2 linked regions of the Macaca mulatta genome follow. The protein of the gene in region 1 purifies or fractionates together with the protein of each later gene. This does not show direct contact. Links are inferred from orthologs where the notes say so. Each region holds a gene or a part of one and is shown in the gene's direction. Other genes may lie near its edges.

Region 1 (4,235 bases):
GGAGGCTCTCGGGCTCCCTCGTTCCCGGGTCGTTTCCTCCCTCTTGCCCGGGACTGAGCGAGGGCACTGGCCAGATGGGAAGCCGCGCGGAGGAGTAGGCGGGGGCTCGGCTGCAGCGCCCCGGGCCCGCGGGAGGGCGGAGCTGGCCGTCCCTGCCCCGCCGGGACGCACGGAAGTGCAGCGGAGTTTGCCCGATTCTCCAGCCTGCTTCCCCCTCCCTCCTCCCTCTCCCCACCCCTCACCTCCCCTTTGGCGATCCCCTCCTTCCTCGGGACGCCACCTCCCGGAATCGCGTTTTTGTTTTGGAGCTGCCTTCTCGCTGGCGGCGCGGAGGGTCTGCGAGCGCAGGGGAAGGCAGGCTGGGGGCGCAGCCCGCCCCCCACTGGCCGGGCCCCGCAGGGCGGAGCGGAGGACGGACGGACAGACGGCCAGCCGCGCCATCTGCTCGCCGGAGCTCACTCTCCAAACTCCAAACTGTTGAGTGTGTGCGTGCACGCGAGGGTGGGGGTCGGGGGTCGTAAGTCCCGGGTGAGGAACTGGTTTCTGCTGGGGTTACCTTTGGACGGGGTTCCTGGGATTCAGAGCAGGGTCAGCGTCAGTCTCAGAAACTGCTGAGGAATTAGGCAAACAAAAGAGACCACTCAGCGACTGGCCAGAAGTCGCCCGACCGCCTCGTCGCGCCCCCTCCTTCCTCCGGGGTTGGGACTGGCCACTTCTGGGGCGGGGAGAGGGCGCCCGAGCCGGCGGGGGCTCCGGCTGCGCAGCCGGGGTCGAAGAGTTGGCGGCCTGTTGTGTAAGCCTCAGTCCTTGTTTTCCCGGCCTGGCTCGTTGTGAAGCCGGACACATCCACCCTTGGACTCGATTCAGGAGGCTGCTGCTTTTCTCCTTGCCCCTCTTGGATTTTCCGGATATTTGAAAACCCAGTGGCCCAGGAGCAAGAGGAGGAGGAAGGAGGAAGGGGCAGATCTGCAGAGGAATGTGAGAGCCTCCCAAAGCGAGAGTGGCCAAAAGAATCTGGGAGCCAGAGGGACAGCCGAGCCCTGCCTGGGTTTCTGGAATGGTGGTTTCCGAGTGAGTCTCTTCTATTTTAGAACGTTGTTCCAGTGGAAAGTGTCGAATTTTTCCCCTCCAGGGCAGATTTCTCCAGGTCACTTGACTTTTCTTCTGGGAGTAGGAGTTAGGAGAGACTCCCCTCTAATCCCCCAGGGGCTGCTAAGGGAGGAGGCTATGGACATGAGCCCTCCCTGCTCACAAGCATATGCCCGGAGACCTGATAGGGCAGTTTCTGGGCCGTGGACATTGCTTTGAAGAGCAGGAGATTGGACAGCATCTGTGGGTGCTGAGACCCCACCTTAGGACCTGAGAGATTGAACTGTGTAAGCGCCATTCAGCTGCGAGTGCATTCTTGGACTTCCTTGTGAGCATCCCGGGTCTGGACAGGACCCTCTCCTTCCCATCTGTCTGTACCACCCAGCCCAACCATGGCACTGAAAGGCCGAGCCCTCTATGACTTTCACAGTGAGAACAAGGAGGAAATCAGCATCCAGCAGGATGAGGACCTGGTCATCTTCAGCGAGATCTCACTGGATGGCTGGCTGCAGGGCCAGAACAGCCGTGGGGAGACAGGGCTCTTTCCTGCCTCTTACGTGGAGATCGTCCGTTCTGGCATCAGCACCAACCATGCTGACTACTCCAGCAGCCCTGCAGGCTCTCCGGGGGCCCACGTGAGCTTGTACAATAGCCCCAGTGTGGCCAACCCAGCTAGGAGTGGTGGGGGCAGTGGCTTCCTCTCAAACCAGGGTAGCTTCGAGGAGGATGATGATGATGATTGGGATGACTGGGACGATGGATGCACAGTGGTGGAGGAGCCACGGGCTGGTGGGCTGGGCACCAATGGGCACCCTCCCCTCAACCTCTCCTACCCTGGTGCCTACCCCAGCCAGCACATGGCCTTCCGGCCCAAGCCACCACTGGAGCGGCAGGACAGCCTGGCATCTGCCAAGCGAGGCAGTGTGGTGGGCCGTAACCTCAACCGTTTCTCATGCTTTGTGCGTTCTGGAGTGGAGGCCTTCATCCTAGGTGATGTGCCCATGATGGCCAAGATCGCTGAGACATACTCCATTGAAATGGGCCCTCGTGGCCCCCAGTGGAAGGCCAACCCCCACCCATTTGCCTGCTCTGTGGAGGACCCCACAAAACAGACCAAGTTCAAGGGCATCAAAAGCTACATCTCCTACAAGCTCACACCCACCCATGCTGCCTCACCTGTCTACCGGCGCTACAAACACTTTGACTGGCTCTATAACCGCCTGCTACACAAGTTCACTGTCATCTCAGTGCCCCACCTGCCTGAGAAGCAGGCCACAGGCCGCTTCGAGGAGGACTTCATTGAAAAGCGGAAGCGGAGACTCATCCTCTGGATGGACCACATGACCAGCCACCCTGTGCTCTCCCAGTACGAAGGCTTCCAGCATTTCCTTAGCTGCCTAGATGACAAGCAGTGGAAGATGGGCAAACGCCGGGCGGAGAAGGATGAGATGGTGGGTGCCAGCTTCCTGCTCACCTTCCAGATCCCCACCGAGCACCAGGACCTGCAGGACGTGGAAGATCGCGTGGACACTTTCAAGGCCTTCAGTAAGAAGATGGACGACAGTGTCCTGCAGCTCAGCACCGTGGCGTCAGAGCTGGTGCGTAAACACGTGGGGGGCTTCCGCAAGGAATTCCAGAAGCTGGGCAGTGCCTTCCAGGCCATCAGTCATTCCTTCCAGATGGACCCCCCTTTTTGCTCTGAGGCCCTCAACAGTGCCATTTCTCACACGGGCCGTACCTATGAAGCCATCGGGGAGATGTTTGCTGAGCAGCCCAAGAATGACCTCTTCCAGATGCTGGACACACTGTCTCTCTACCAGGGCCTGCTCTCTAACTTCCCTGACATCATCCACCTACAGAAAGGTAAGACCCAGTGCAGGCAGGAAACCCATCCTGAGTCTGACTCTCTGCTGGGCCCTGGGGAGATGGGGATGGCCTGGATAGAATGGAGCAACTTATCTTTATTTCTCTGTCTCAATCATTCATTTAACAAATGTGTTGGACTGGGCATGGTGGCTCATGCTTGTAATCTCAGCACTTTGGGAGGTTGAAGTAGGAAGATCAATCACTTGGACCCAGGAGGTTGAGACTACAGTGAGCCCGATTGTGCCACTTCACTCCAGCCTGGGTGACAGAGTGAGACCCTGTCTCTAAAACAAACAAACAAACAAACAAACATGTTGAGTATCAACTCTGTATCTGTGCAAATGTGCTTCTAGGTACAGGAATATTGTTGTGCACAGGCCTGGTCTCTGTCCTCATGGAGCTTGATATTTACCTTCTTGTCAATTCATTCATTTTCTCTGGATCTCATTTACCCATCATGCATGGTGTCATGCTGGGTTCTGAGAACACACAGATGACCGGGCCCCAGGCCTTGCCCTGGAGGAGCCGGTAGGCCCTTGGGAGACAGAGACCCAACCCAGATAACAAGAGCTCAGAGTGGGGGCCTGTCTTCTGCCCCTTGCAAGTTCACCTCCCCACCTTTGCAGCTTTGCAAGTTACTCTCACCACTGTGTATTCTCTCTATGAGCGTCTTGTCTGTGTGCAGGAAGATCCCTGTCCCCATTTTGCGGATGAAGGAGTTAGTGTCCACAGAAGAGTGGTTGCACAGCCTGTGGCCCGGCTGGGACTGTCCTTTCCTCCTGCTACCTCCCCAAGGACACGTCCATGTTGGCCGCTTCCCAAGCCTAGCCGTGTTTTCAGTTGTCATGACCCCCTCCGTGGGGGAGGGACAGGATGGGCCTCTGCCTGTTACTGCTGGGGCTGTCAAGGAACTGCCGGGGAAATGACTCATCCTGGGTCACACAGGGGCACCCTGGCTGGACCAGGCTGCGGAATCAGGGGTCCAGGGCACTGCCCACATGGCCTATCCAACTCCTGCTTCCCAAGCCTGGCTTCTCTTCTTGCCTGAGGAGACAGCCAGTGACTGCCCCAGCAGGTACCTGAGTCCTGGGGACAGCTAGGAGGGCAGATGTCAGGAGAGAGGTGTGATCCTCCCTGGGGCTGCTGGGTAACTCGTATGCAGGGCGTGGAGCTGGCTCCCTGGCCCTTGGGCCCTGAGGTCAGGCCTGGCTTGGTGGGGAGTTTGACTCTGGGTGGGGCCAGGAGGCAGACCTCTGGACTGAGCCTGGGGAACAGGAAAC
Region 2 (4,324 bases), on another chromosome or scaffold:
CACGGGGAGAGGATTCGTTGAGTTTTAGTGGGTGTTCAAAAAGATCCAAAGCCAGTTGGGGGGTTCACACCTGTAATCCCAGCACTTTTGGGAGGCTGGTCTGTGACAGTCGTTTGGGCCCAGGAGTTTGAGACCAGCCTGGACAACACAGCAAGACCCTGTCTCTATAAAAAATAAAATAAAAATAATTAGCTGGGCATAGTTGACTCAGGGCATGCCTGTGGTTCCAGCTACTTGGGACGCTGAGGCGGGAGGATCGTTTGAGCCCAAGTGCTTGTTGAATTGAGCTATGAGTCCACTACTGCACTCCAGCCTGGGCAACAGAGCAAGACCCAGTCTCTAGGAAAGGAAGATTCATTGGCTAGACGCGGTGACTCACGCCTGTAATCCCAACACTTTGGGAGGCCAAGATGGGCAGATCACTTGAGGCCAGGCGTTCGAGACCAGCCTGGCCAATAGGGTGAAACCCTTTCTGTCTACTAAAAATACAAAATTAGCTGGGTGTGGTGGCGTGCACCTGTAATCCCAGCTATTCGGGAGGCTGAGGCAGGAGAATTGCTTGAACTGGGGAGGCAGAGGTTGCAGTGAGCCAAGATCGCGCCACTGCACTCTAGCCTGGGTGACAGAGTGAAACCCCGTCTCAAAAAGAGAAAAAAAAAGATTCATGCTCTGCTAAAGTTGAAGAAGCCGGGGAAAAAACTTTGGAGCGTTAGCGGCGTCAAGATCGGGCGTGAGCAGAAAGGGCACAGTATTTGCAAAGGCGTGGAGGAGGAGTGATTTTACTGCGTTCTGTCTCTGGGAAGCAATGACTTGGCCTTACCCATTTACAGAGTGCATTGGGACCCTGGTCCCAGAGTTGGTTTGCAGTCTGGGCACTGAGATGCGTTCTGGGACTTGTAGTTTTCCCCAGAGCCAGGAAACTCAAAAATCGAGACATCGGATCCCACCACGAGGTGTCGCCCTTGAGCGAGTACGGTGGCACCTATCCTGTACTTCAGAAGACTGTTGCAGATATCCAACAATCACAGGGGAAGAACGCGAGTTTTTCTGATTGACAGATATGGTTCTCAATCATAGTGAAGATTCGGATGTTACACCCCGCCCTCTTTTGCCTGGTTGGCTGGAGCAACGAAGTGATATTTATATGAACCAATGGGAAATTCTTAGGGAACTAGGTAGTAGCTCAATCCCTAACATCATTGGTCCACATTGTCGACTGGCACGTCTGCCTGCCAATAAGATGGTGTAACCTCGCCAATGGGCGGAGCCAAAGTGCATTTTTCTGAAACACCTCCTTCCTCTCTTGACAACTTGCTTTCTGCCGCTATTGGCTTTTGCACAACAGTGACGGTTCTTTTGTCCAATAAACCAGCAAGACGGTCCTCAGGGGGAAGGTTTACTCAACCATTGGCTTGTGCCTCGTTTTTATTGGCTAGTGTGCCCGAGTGGCGGCGCAGCAGGCCAATCGCGTGCGGCGCGAGTGATTTGTGCGCAGCCCTGGGGCCGGGGCGGGAGGTCGCTTGGGTCGGGTGTAGCCTGAGAACCGGATGAGGCGGCGACCGTGAGGCCGAGCCGGGAGCGGGCGTCTTGCCGAGGCCCGGGCGGGCGGAGAGCAACGGCTACAGACGCCGCGGGGCCAGGTCGTTGAGGGTCGGCGGCGGCGGGGAGCGCAGGGCGCTCGGGCCGGGGGCCGCCGGCGCCATGGGCAACCGCGGGATGGAAGAGCTGATCCCGCTGGTCAACAAGCTGCAGGACGCCTTCAGCTCCATCGGCCAGAGCTGCCACCTGGACCTGCCGCAGATCGCTGTGGTGGGCGGCCAGAGCGCCGGCAAGAGCTCGGTGCTGGAGAACTTCGTGGGCCGGTAAGCGGGCGCGGCAGGGATCGCGGGCGGGCGGCGGCCTAGGGCGCGGAGGGCGGACCGGGAATGGCGCTCCCTGCGCCGCCGGCGTAACTGCGGCGCTTGCGTGCCGGCGGCGGGGAACCGGACGGGGTCGGGGAGGCGGGCCCTGTGGGACGCCCTGGGCAGAGGACTCCCTGCAGGGGCTCGGGAGCGGGCCTGGGCCCCAGGGGCGGCGTCATGGGCCGGGGGGCCGTAGGACCGGAGGTGTGCTGGAATCCTGCGGTCCATCTGGTCCCAGCTTTCGTGGGTGAACTCTGCCGTCTGGTTGCCCGTGGGTCTGGGGTAGATCCCTCTTCTGCTCTTTCGGGCTGTTTATCAGAGGTGAAACCGGCCATCTAGATATCTACTGGGGCGACCCCTGCGGTCTGGCTGGCTTGTTCTTGTATCTGGAGCTGCCCCCGCCATCTGGTTGGCTGTCTCTCTGTCCTGGGCAAGCCTCCCTGCCACAACCATTTGGTTGTCCATCTGTCCAGTCCCACCTGGCAGCCCCCTGCTGTCTGGCTAGCTGTAAAGGGTGACCTCTGCTGTCTGGCCGCCCATCCGTGCCCCTCACAGACTTTAACACTGAGCAGTCCCTCTGTTGGGTGACACCAGCTGGCCTCCACTGTCTGACTGGCTAGCTGACTCCTAGGGGACCCTGTTTGATTCTCTCAGGCTGACTCTTAGAGCTTAGTCCCTGCCTAGAGCTGGTCCTCTCTTCCGTCATTCTTCTGTCTGTCTGGCCATCTCCTGTTCTGCGCATGACTACCCCTGAGTGTCTGGCCCAGCGCCTCTGGAAGTGGGTGGCAGGAGGGTAGAGGGGAGAATACAGCTGAAGGATGAGGTTTGAACCCTACTTCCCCTGTCAGCTAGAAGGAGGACCCTGGGGGTACCTTACTTCAGGATTCCTTTCAGGGTGCTAGAACACAGGGCCCGCCTCCCAGCTACAGCCTGCCAATTGGGGGCCCTCCTTTGGAGCCTGGGAAGGGTCTTCTCGCGTGACCAGGCCTCAGTGGCTAGCCCTGGGATGTAGCCTTCTCTGGACAGCCCTGAGAAGCCGCGGTGTGCCCATCTGTCCAGTGGGCAGACTCCACTCTCTGGGCTGTTTCCAGGATTCAGGAAGCAAATGAATGAGAACAGCCCGTGCAGCCACCTCTCCCTCCCACCAACCCCTCTTGCCTTTCTTGTCTCCCAGATGGGCGGCCACTTCTCCATTCCAGGAACTACTCATTTGTAGTGGTGTGGCTGCCAAATGATAACATCCTCCTCCTGTCATTATTGTCATTGTTATTGTTTTTTTTTTTTTTTTTTTTTTTTGAGACGGAGTCTTGCTCTGTCACCCAGGCTGGAGTGCAGTGGCCGGATCTCAGCTCACTGCAAGCTCCGCCTCCCGGGTTTACGCCATTCTCCTGCCTCAGCCTCCCAAGTAGCTGGGACTACAGGCGCCCGCCACCTCGCCCGGCTATTTTTTTGTATTTTTTAGTAGAGACGGGGTTTCACCGTGTTAGCCGGGATCGTCTCTCGATCTCCTGACCTCGTGATCCGCCCGTCTCGGCCTCCCAAAGTGCTGGGATTACAGGCTTGAGCCACCGCGCCCGGCCTGTTATTGTTTTTATCAGTGTCAAGGGATAATGTTTTTCTTGATTCAACATCTTGAATCCCAAGTAAGGAGTGGGGTGGAGGCTGTGTTACCATCCCCACGTTAGCTGAGCTGGGAGGCTTAGAAGGAACTGTGTTCACCCAAGGCCACCAGGCTGGCGTAAAGCCTTGTGTCTGCTATCCCAGAGCCTTGGGGCTTTCCTCCCAGCAGCACGAATTTCCTCCTTTGCTACCTTGTCTCTGGCTCATTGCCTTCTGTCTTACCACAGTGTTTGCAAAGCTCTGTCTCTTTCACATGCCTTGTGACCTTGCACAGGTTGTCTTGGTCTAAGTCTTGGTTGACACTCCTAAACAAGTTTTTTTTTTTTTTTTTTTTTTTTTGAGACAGAGTCTCGCTCTGTCTCCCAGGCTGGAGTGCAGTGGCATGATCTTGGCTCACTGCAACCTCTGCCTCCCAGATTCAGGCGATTCTCCTGCCTCAGCCTCCCGAGTAGCTGGGATTACAGGCGTCCACTACCATGCCCAACTAATTTTTGTATTTTTAGTAGAGACGGGGTTTCACCATGTTGGCCAGGCTGGTCTCGAACTCCTTACCTCAAGTGATCCTCTCGCCTTGGCCTCCCAAAGTGCTGGGATTACAGGCGTGAGCCACCAGGTCGGGCCCCAGGAGTTCAAGACCAGCCTGGGTAACATGACAAGACACCATTCTACAAAAAATAAAACAAGTAGCCAGGTAGGGTAGTAGTCCCACACCTGTAGTCCAAGCAACTCACGAGGCTGGCCCTGGGAGGATTGCTTGAGCCCAGGATGTCCAGACTGCAGTGAGCTGTGATCGCACCATTACC

Evidence for each region. Proteins that work in one complex are often made in the same cells at the same time.
Region 2: the proteins of SNX33 (region 1) and DNM2 purify together in Homo sapiens (co-immunoprecipitation; 3 studies listed by BioGRID and IntAct, with this or other methods). This does not show direct contact. The link is inferred for Macaca mulatta from reciprocal best matches to the Homo sapiens genes SNX33 and DNM2.

Annotation. Positions count from the first base shown.
Region 1 is NC_133412.1:53,690,160-53,694,394, forward strand, and holds the start of SNX33 (sorting nexin-33), read left to right. Parts: upstream 1-1,391; 5' UTR 1,392-1,481; coding exon 1,482-2,952; intron 2,953-4,235. UniProt on the Homo sapiens protein: Plays a role in the reorganization of the cytoskeleton, endocytosis and cellular vesicle trafficking via its interactions with membranes, WASL, DNM1 and DNM2. Acts both during interphase and at the end of mitotic cell divisions.
Region 2 is NC_133424.1:11,453,844-11,458,167, forward strand, and holds the start of DNM2 (dynamin-2), read left to right. Parts: upstream 1-1,524; 5' UTR 1,525-1,701; coding exon 1,702-1,862; exon of another isoform or gene 1,863-1,962; intron 1,963-4,324. UniProt on the Homo sapiens protein: Catalyzes the hydrolysis of GTP and utilizes this energy to mediate vesicle scission at plasma membrane during endocytosis and filament remodeling at many actin structures during organization of the actin cytoskeleton.